Linked DNA regions of Rattus norvegicus. The protein of the gene in region 1 interacts with the protein of each later gene in a biochemical or structural test. Links are inferred from orthologs where the notes say so. Each region holds a gene or a part of one and is shown in the gene's direction. Other genes may lie near its edges.

Region 1 (4,343 bases):
AGACCCCGTTCAGAAAAGAAAGTAAAATAGGGTTTTGTTTTTGTTTTTGTTTTTGTTTTTTTCCAAAAGAAAACTTGCTAGCAGACCTCGTGGCCCAGTCCGGTCACGCCTGTTCAAGGACTGGAAGTTCAAGGCTAGGCTAGGCAGTGTAATGAGGCTTAAAACAAAGTAAACCTGGGGAGCTGGAGGAATGGCTCAGCAGGTAAGAGCATGTACGCTCATGCAGAGGACCTGGGTTCTGTCCTCAGCACCCACAGTGGCTCACAACCATCCACAGCTCCAGCTCTGACGCCCACACTGACCTGTGCCAGCACCAGGCACACACGGGGCTCACACGGGCTCACACAGGCACACACGGGGCTCACACGGGCACACACGGGGCACATACGTACATGGAGCCGAACACTCATACTCATAAAATAAATTATGGATAAATAAATAAGGGTTGAGCTAGGGAATAACCCAGTAATACAGAGCCTGCACAGCCTGCACCAGGCACTGTGTTCAACCAAAAGACAGGAGGGAGAGAGAAAGAACAATAATTGGGGGCAGTGGGGTGGGGGCGGAGAAAAGGTGAAGAAAACAAGAAATCTCGCATCAGCCACCATTTTATTATTAAGAAATCCCTGTTTATTTGGTCTCAGTCTTTTAAGTTTCATTGTTGTTGTTATTATTGACTTTTTATGTGTATGGGTGTTTGGTCTGCATGTACATCTGCATACCAGAGGAGGCCCTGGGACTAGAGTTATAGGTAGTTGCGAGCAGTCATGTGGGTGGCCGTGAGTAGACCCAGGTCCTCTGAAGAGCAGCCAGTGCTCTGACACTTTGAGCCATCCCCCCAGCCCTCAGCCATTATCTTAAACCCAGGGAGAGATTCTGGTGTGGTAACACACACCTTTAATCTCAGCACCCTCAGAGGCAGGTGGATCTCTGAGTTCAAGGCCAGCCTTGGCTACATGGTGAGCTCCAGGCCAGCCAAGGATATTAGAAAGACCTTGTCCTTAAGAATAAGAGAGGAAGGAAAGCAGAGGGGATGGAGGAGAAAAAGAGAGAAAACAACCAAGGGAAAGACCCCGAAATTACAGTGCACCTGTTAAGTGCACACTCACTGCAGACACTGCAGGCCAGGCTAAGGCGGGATTCGGGTTACAGAGGTGATGGTATGACCATAGCAGTTTAATTTATGCTGTTATGGTCGCCACAGACACCCTGAAGTGGGGCTCCAGGGGCAGACGCGCCGTCCCATGAACATCTCATTTGCACTGCCTCTGGATCACTGAGGCAGCTGCAGTGGCAATGAGGTGCTTCCTGCTCTGCACTCCCACCTGGCTCCCTAGAACCCGTTCTAGAAAGTTAGGGCCCAGTGTGCCAAACCCATGAAGTGGGGGCTGTCCTCATTTTGTCCCCCCCCACCCAGGTGAAAGTGATGCGAAGCCTGGACCACCCTAACGTGCTTAAGTTCATCGGGGTCCTGTACAAGGACAAGAAGCTGAATCTGCTGACAGAGTACATTGAGGGGGGCACCCTGAAGGACTTTCTGCGCAATGTGGTGAGCACGTGACCACAGTCGTGGAGGGAGAGCTTGTTGGGTGCTCAGGAACCTCAAGGGTTAGAGGGACCTTGTTTGCCCTCAATGGTGTGTACTGGGAGGGACTGGAGGGCTTCCACAGCACACATGCCGGCCACTAGAACCTACCAAAAGCTGTAAGGGCTCCTCACAGACATTCTCCTACCCTGCAGGACCCGTTTCCCTGGCAACAGAAGGTCAGGTTTGCCAAAGGCATCGCTTCCGGAATGGTGAGTCCTACCCAACAACCTCACGCATGTGTACAGTGAGGTGCAGGGATCGCAGGCTGCTGGGGAAGGCAGATGCCCATCCCGGGGCTGGGACACTCAGCAGCTGCCTACTGAGTTTCTTTCAATGCCAAGGAACTGTTGGCTCAAAACTCTCTTTCAGAGTACAATTCTATTCTCAAAGGATTCCAAATCCCCTTAACACCAAATGGCATGAACAAGGCAAACTGTAGCTCAGGTCTGTGGGACCTTACTGCCCACAAAATGAGGAGAAGGGGGAGAACACGAATTCTAGATGAACTCAGGAGAAGCCAGTACATTCAGGTCCTATTGAGCGCATTGTGGGAATGAGTCTAGCTGTCCTCACAGCTGACGGGTGCTAATGAAGTGACTATTCCACACAGCGGGGAGGGAGGGGCTGCACCCCACCTCTCCTTCCTCCAGTAACCGTGGTTTACAGGGAAGAAGTGAGGTAGAAAAGGAAAGGGCTGGGTCCTGGGCTTGTCAGTTCTCGGGTGGTCACCCAGCTCTAAAGAGAACAGGGCAGACAAGAGCAGTGCAGGCAGGAAGGGAAATGGTAGCACACAGGGGTCTCAGGAAAAAAGGGGTACATGGGAGATATAGACAGCCTTTGAGGAGGGGTGGGTAGACAGCCAGGCCATGTGTTTCAGCCATAGGAAAAGCTCTGTGGGCTTAGGAACAGTGAAGCAGTAGTACAGGGTAGGAAAGGGGGCAGTGTCACCCTCCACAGCTACAGGGAAAGGAAAGCCTAAGAAAGTAGCTCCTAAGAGTGACACGGGAATGTCTAGTAAAAATAGTTTAGAAATGGCTGGACAGGAAGAGGGAGGGGCTGAAGTACAGACAGAGGAGGAGGGCGTCTCAGGGGAGGTGAGTCAGGAGGTCATTTCTTCCCCACCAGGCAGGAAGATCCAAAGTAGCAGAAGCCAGACCCTGGAGGAGGAGGGAGGAACAGTGTGTTTGAGGGCGCTCACTTTAGATTGCCTCAATCTAAGTAAAGGATGAGGGACTCAGGGGCCAGCAGGGCTGGAGACTGTTGGGAAAACCTGGGCAGGAGTTGGCAGTTATCCGTTGGAGTTAGGATACAAGCTGTGGCTTAGGGGTAGGGATGGGAAGCTAAACAGGCTTGGCCTAGAAGACTGGAGTAGCTGGGTGTTGGGGGAGGGGAAGCTGGGTGGGCGTGGCCTGGGAACAGGCTCCATGGGTGGGCGTGGCCTGGGAATAGACTCCATGGGTGGGCGTGGCCTGGGAACAGGCTCCATGGCTCTGGCTTCTGTTGCAGGCTTATTTACACTCCATGTGCATCATCCACCGAGATCTGAACTCGCACAACTGTCTCATCAAATTGGTACGTCCCGCTGGGCTGGCCTGAGCTGCATGGGGCTATCCCTCTGGCTTCAGACCAGACACCACCTATGGGCTTCTATTTTGGGCGCTCGGCTACCTCAAGTGCCTTTTGCCACCCCCATCTTATGGAGGCTCTCAGACACACACATACAGGAACGATTTCACCTCCCTCCCCAGGAGCAGCCCTTGAAGTGATTATTATTAGAAGGGATTAGCTTCCCTGTCTGGCAGGCAGAAGGCCCTGGGCTCAATCCCCTACACTGATTTGGTGGGGCAGGAGTCTAGGTGTGGATGGGGGCTGAATTCCTTGTCTGTGGAGCTCTTGCCCTGTAGCAGGCCCTCAGACAGTCTGCTGATCCCACTTTACAACATGGACGACGGGCTGCAGGGTCTTTGATCCACACAGCCAGCACGAGGCCAGCGTTCCTCACACAGCCCTCAGATACAGTTGTTCCAGTGTTGTCTCCTGCCACTGCAACCCCCCTTCCTGCTACTGCCTCCCTAGCTCTCCCCTGTCCTTTACTGCCTTTTCTCTTAACCTATTCTGGCCACAAGTCCTTGTTAAGAACAAGACAAAGGGCTGAAGAGAGACAAGAAATCCTTACCCACCTGAGCTGCGCTCTGCAGGTCACTTCCCTGAGGCTCCTCCCCTGTTAGTTGGGGTCTGCTGTGGACAGATATCAGACTGACAAAAAACTCAGAGGCCCAGCCACCGCTTCTCAGTAGAGCTTTCTGGGGTGACTCTCCCCTGCTTTGTAACTTCACTCCCCTTGAAGGTGGTCTCCCTTGCCTATGCCCACACCCCAGGGACAAGTTAGAGAAGCCCACACCCTAGGTCCTGACCTGGCGCTTGTCCTCCCAGGACAAGACGGTGGTGGTAGCAGACTTCGGGCTGTCACGTCTCATAGTGGAAGAGAGGAAAAGGCCTCCAGTAGAGAAGGCCGCCACCAAGAAACGCACCTTACGCAAGAGTGATCGCAAGAAGCGCTACACTGTGGTGGGAAACCCCTACTGGATGGCCCCTGAGATGCTGAATGGTAAGTTCTGAATGCCTGGAGGGAAAAGAGCCAGAGAGAAGACAGCACCTATGTCTTAAAAAGAGTGCTGTAAGCTGGGAAGCATGTGACAGGAGCAGACACTCAGAGAGAGGGGGTGGGCGATCTTTCGGGCTTGGCCAAGTCAGG
Region 2 (4,884 bases), on another chromosome or scaffold:
TCAGAGTAGCCTTGTAAGTAAATAAAGTACATATATACACTTCACATACACTGCACGTAACATTGTCAACTGCTTATCTTTATTGGTGTCTTGTTGTCTTAACTATCTGTACTTTTTCATGTGTTTCCAAATGGAAAACAGCATAATATTCAGTTCTCTGAGGGGGAAAAAAACCCAAAAACCCCAAGAATACCTAAAAATGGTAATAAAATAAAGGACAAGCAGTGTTTAGGAAATTTATTTCAGGGAAACTGCCAGATTATTTTAAGCCCTATGCTTAAAAATAAATCTAATTCACATGACTGACTTAAAATACTGGGCCAAGAAAAGTCACTGCAAAAGCATTTAATGAAATACCTGAAGTTTGTCCCTGTTTTTTATTTTGGCCATGACTTTCTGTGAAGACTTACTTCCTAACTTGATTTACACAGTGGACTTTATAGCTAAACATTTCTTGTATCTAATAAAATGAAGAAGTAAAAAATTTCCAACAATGTATTGTTTCCCTAATTGGTCCCCTTGCTGATGTATTGTTCAGATGCTATGCATTGCTATTTCAATATCGGGACATTTGTTTTATCTGTAGTATTTTTCAGTGTGCAGTGAAACATATCCACATGTCAACCAGAAATCTTTCATTTGACCTATGATGAAACCCAAGGGTTGATTAGAAACAAATACAGGTTGGACTCCGCAGAAGGCAGGGAAAAACATAATCAGAAACCTTTTTCAGCCTGTCTCCCTACATTAAGTGAAAAACTGAATTAGGAAATGCCCATTATTTTCATATCCTTCTTTATTTGTAATAAAAAAAAACCCTCTTTTTAAAGTTTTACTAAATGCCCTGCAGTTGTGCATCTTAAAGACAGGACAAAACTACAAGTTGCTGTGAGAAACGAATAGAAATAGCTTACAAACATCGATTTTCCTATGACTTTTCCCCCTTTAATTAAACTGCATTTGACTTCTATTGATTCTGTCTTCCAGAATCAACATTTTAAGGCTCCCCTGACACACAGGGTTTGGGAACACTGAATGCATGGTGATTTTCCCACTGAATCTGCGTGGTGGGCATCAAGGAGAGCCCACCAGAATGCTCCGGAAAAATCCAAACTCCACTGGTGCTGAATAACTTTCAGGTACCGTCAGAAGCAAAGCACCCTCCTAGCCCGCAAAAAGTATCTATCAGTGATAACAAGCGCCTTCTTTTCCTGTCAGAAGTCTCCCGACCAGAGGCCCAATGGAAGCAAATCTGGGGCGCCTGCCAGCTCAGCCACCAGAGGCTGGGAAACGTTCCCTCCTCCCTGTCCTCCACTGGGTTTCCGACTTCTCTTCGCCCTCCGCCTGCCAGGCCCCGCCCGTGTCCGGCTCCGCCTCTCTCCCCTCCTTCCTGTCGCGACCCGGCCAGCCCCGCCCTGGCGGGCGTCTGCGTGCGCGTGCGCGAGCGCGAGGCCCGCTCGCTCCCCTTCCGAACGCCCGCGCCGCGCATGCGCACTGCGCGCCGGCGGTCCCCGTTTGTTTGAACAGGAAGGCGGACATATTAGTCCCTCTGAGCCCTCCTCGCCCCACCCCCCAGGCATTCGCCTCCGCGACTCGCCCTTTTCCCAGCTCGGACCGCGGCCCCTCCCAGAAGCTCCCGCATCAGCAGCCGCACGGACCCTCTGGTCGCCTTCCTCATCGGCCCGCTCCAGCTAGTCTTCCTCTGAGACTCCCTCGGGCCACCGACCTCACCCTGCCCGGCCGGACACCGTAACCCCAGCAGCGACCGGATAAAATGGGAGAGTGAGCCTGTTCTGTGGAAACCAGCTCTTGGCCGAGGATAAATCAGTGCGTCTTACCGGGCCGAGTGGAACCCGGGATGCAGGGCTAGACAGCCGCTAGCGCCTTAGAGCGGAGCGGGGCCGGCCCGGGGCCCAGGCGGCAGCTGGCGCAGCTCCTCACCCGCCCTTCGCTTTCGCCTTTCCTCTTCGCCCTCCCTGGCTGCCCCGAGGGAGTCTCCACCCTGCTGCGCTCCCTCTTCCCGCCGCTGCCCTTCTCTGGACTGGGCCCCGCCATGGCGAAGGCAGCCGGGGCCCGCTAGGCTGAGGTGCCTCGCCGGAGCGACCGGGCTGCTGGCGACGGCGCTGTCGGCTGTCGCGAGGGGCTGCCGGGTGGGATGCGACTTTGGGTGTCCGAGCGGCTGCGGGTCGCTGTCACCCCCAGCCTGGGGTCTAGAGAGCAGAGGTCCCCTCAGTGAGGGGAAGGAGGGGGAACCGGGCGCACCTGGTGACCCCGAGGTTCCGGCTCCTCTGCCCCGCGGCTACAAACCCACCGCGGAGGAAGTTGGTTGAACTTGCTTTCCGCTGCGGGTACGAAGGTATCGTCACAAGTAGCAGCATCATGTCGACTGGGGACAGTTTTGAGACTCGGTTTGAAAAAATCGACAACCTGCTGCGGGATCCCAAATCGGAAGTGAATTCAGATTGTTTGCTGGTGAGTGCTGCTGTTTTCTCTGGGTTGCCTTGGGTTGCTGTTTGCAGTCTAGTTAACTGCAACGAGTCTCAGGTGTGCATAGTCATCTTGGGAAGATGCCAGATTTCTCTTTTGCAAGAATTTTAGAGCGCCAGTAAATCTGTTGTTCACCCCCTCCCCTTTTTTAGCAATTTCAGTGATTCTCTGCTACCTACTCTGAAATTCTGGTTTTGATTCAGCTCGTCAGTCCACCGAGCATACCTAGAAAGTAAGATCGCAGCCTTTGTATCAGAAGGTTAACACGTCAAAGTTTATATTGTGTAGTTTGTTAAAAGACGGTCTTAGCATTAACCTCGCCGATTAGTTGGACAGTATTATTGAAAAATGTACTTTCTATTTATAGAATTAGGGAATTTATACTTGGACATGATAATGGAAAATTGATATTGAGGAAGTGATTTTTAAGATAAAAATTTTAGGTGTCTTGAGGCTAAAGAAACTGTTGAACGTTAAATGCAAACACCTACGACAACTAATCTTAGGCCAACACAAGTTTGGTGGCTTTTAAAACACTGTTAGTAAATATATTTCACATATATTAAGAATCGTTTTTTGTTGTTGGTGGTGGTGCTGGTGGTGGTGGTGGTGGTGGTGGTGGTGGTGGTGTGTGTGTGTGTGTGTGTGTATGGTAGTAAACTAATTATTGCCACTTTAAAAACATTCTAAAGTTTTTAGGTCACAAAAAGCCAAAATCCTACCATAAAAATTACCCAGTTGTTGATAGCAAAAAGAATTATTTGTAAACAATAGGCATTTGAGTACTGCCAATACAGTTATCAACGTAATTTCTCCGTTTACTACTAACTGAAAATTGTATACTAATATTTTTAGTTTTTAAACAATCACAAGATCTCAAATCATGTTTCAGTGTCTATCTGGACATGGAGATTTTAGAGAATTAGCGTTGTATACTCAATAGTTTGGAGATTTAAGAATAATGCCATTCAGAGAGAGAACATTGTAAAATTTTATACTGAATCAGGAAATTTTGTAGATTAAAATTAGTGTGTATTTCAGTTATTCTAAAGTATATTCAACTATTCTATACTTTTAATGTGTAAGGTTTCTCATTAAAGCTTTCAGAATTCCTCTAAACATACTTAACTATACATTGCTAATGTCCATGTCTGATGTAATTCTATAAGTTGTTCTTAGGTTTATTATTGTTATTAGTGGTCCTGACAGTTGAACCCAGCACATGTGAGGCATGCACTCCACCATCGATCTGCTCATCCTATTTTACTTTTCTGCTCCTCAGGTTAGGAAGGAGATTATAGGAAGGGCTTCGGAGCTTTCTTTTTTATTGCTAGTTTTCTCTCGTTACAGTATCATCAGTAGGAACCCGAGGAGAGTACAAAGGAAATAAATGCACAGTACATGGGCTCTTTAGAAAGAGTTGAATCTGCATAGGAAAACATTTTTATATACATGTGCAGAAACAAAGTAAGCAGTTTACAGATTGAGAAAACAACTGATTAATTCTAAATGATTATTCAGTATTTTTCAATCAATCATCTGTCTATATAATGGAAACTGAAGGGGAAAAAATTGCTGTGAGTTGAGAGTGCCAGAGTGTGCTTTATGATGAATTGGCTACTGAATTGAGGATAACAGATAGAGGGTGGATGGGCATCCATGAATGACCGTGACATATTTAGAAAAACAAGATAAAGTTGGGAGGATAGAGTTAGATTTGGAGAATTAATTAAGTGTAATTAGCTATCACAGAGTGAATGAAGATTAATCCAGTAGTTCTATGTAAGATAAGTTTGTATGGAAAAAGACTGGGAATAAGTGAGATTGGAGAATTTTCAGATTAACATAACAGTCCTCACTCAATTGGAGCCCTGAGCTAGGACATGACAATGAAGAAGGAAGAATTGATGGAACATGATTGAGTTGAAAGAACCCAGGGGTACTAGTCCAGTGACTCCAAAAATATTGAGCCTGAGTTCTATATATTAAAAATGGTGAAAATAATCAAGTTTGGGAATTGCTTGAGAATAGACCTACTGATATATTTTAAATTTGCTATATTTGCAAGATAGTGGTATAAGTGTGGAGAAATTGCCTGTAGACTATTGTAGATGTGGAATTAGACTTAAAATAGCAAGTAATGACTTGGAAATCATGTCTATAGAGTACAAATTGTAACTGATATAATGATAAGGGATAACCTAGAGAGAGATGAGATGATAAGGGTGGTAGATGAAGGTTGAATAAAGAGTCAAAGAAGCAACTTACTCAAGGTCTTCAGTGTTAAGGTAGCCAGGTACTAGGAGCACAAGACTTTAAAGGAACATTCAGAGAATGAATTTGATTACTTTTTCTGTTTTCATCTTATAATCTTGATTGTTTGAAAATTCCATTATC

The links. The genes of interacting proteins can lie anywhere in the genome.
Region 2: of the proteins of Limk2 (region 1) and Rock1, one has a biochemical effect on the other in vitro, tested with the Homo sapiens proteins (2 studies listed by BioGRID). The link is inferred for Rattus norvegicus from reciprocal best matches to the Homo sapiens genes LIMK2 and ROCK1.

What each region holds. Positions count from the first base shown.
Region 1 is NC_086032.1:82,446,598-82,450,940, reverse strand, and holds part of Limk2 (LIM domain kinase 2), read left to right. Parts: intron 1-1,417; coding exon 1,418-1,549; intron 1,550-1,740; coding exon 1,741-1,797; intron 1,798-3,094; coding exon 3,095-3,160; intron 3,161-4,021; coding exon 4,022-4,196; intron 4,197-4,343. UniProt on the Homo sapiens protein: Serine/threonine-protein kinase that plays an essential role in the regulation of actin filament dynamics. Acts downstream of several Rho family GTPase signal transduction pathways.
Region 2 is NC_086036.1:1,505,782-1,510,665, reverse strand, and holds the start of Rock1 (rho-associated protein kinase 1), read left to right. Parts: upstream 1-1,518; 5' UTR 1,519-2,379; coding exon 2,380-2,472; intron 2,473-4,884. UniProt on the Homo sapiens protein: Protein kinase which is a key regulator of the actin cytoskeleton and cell polarity.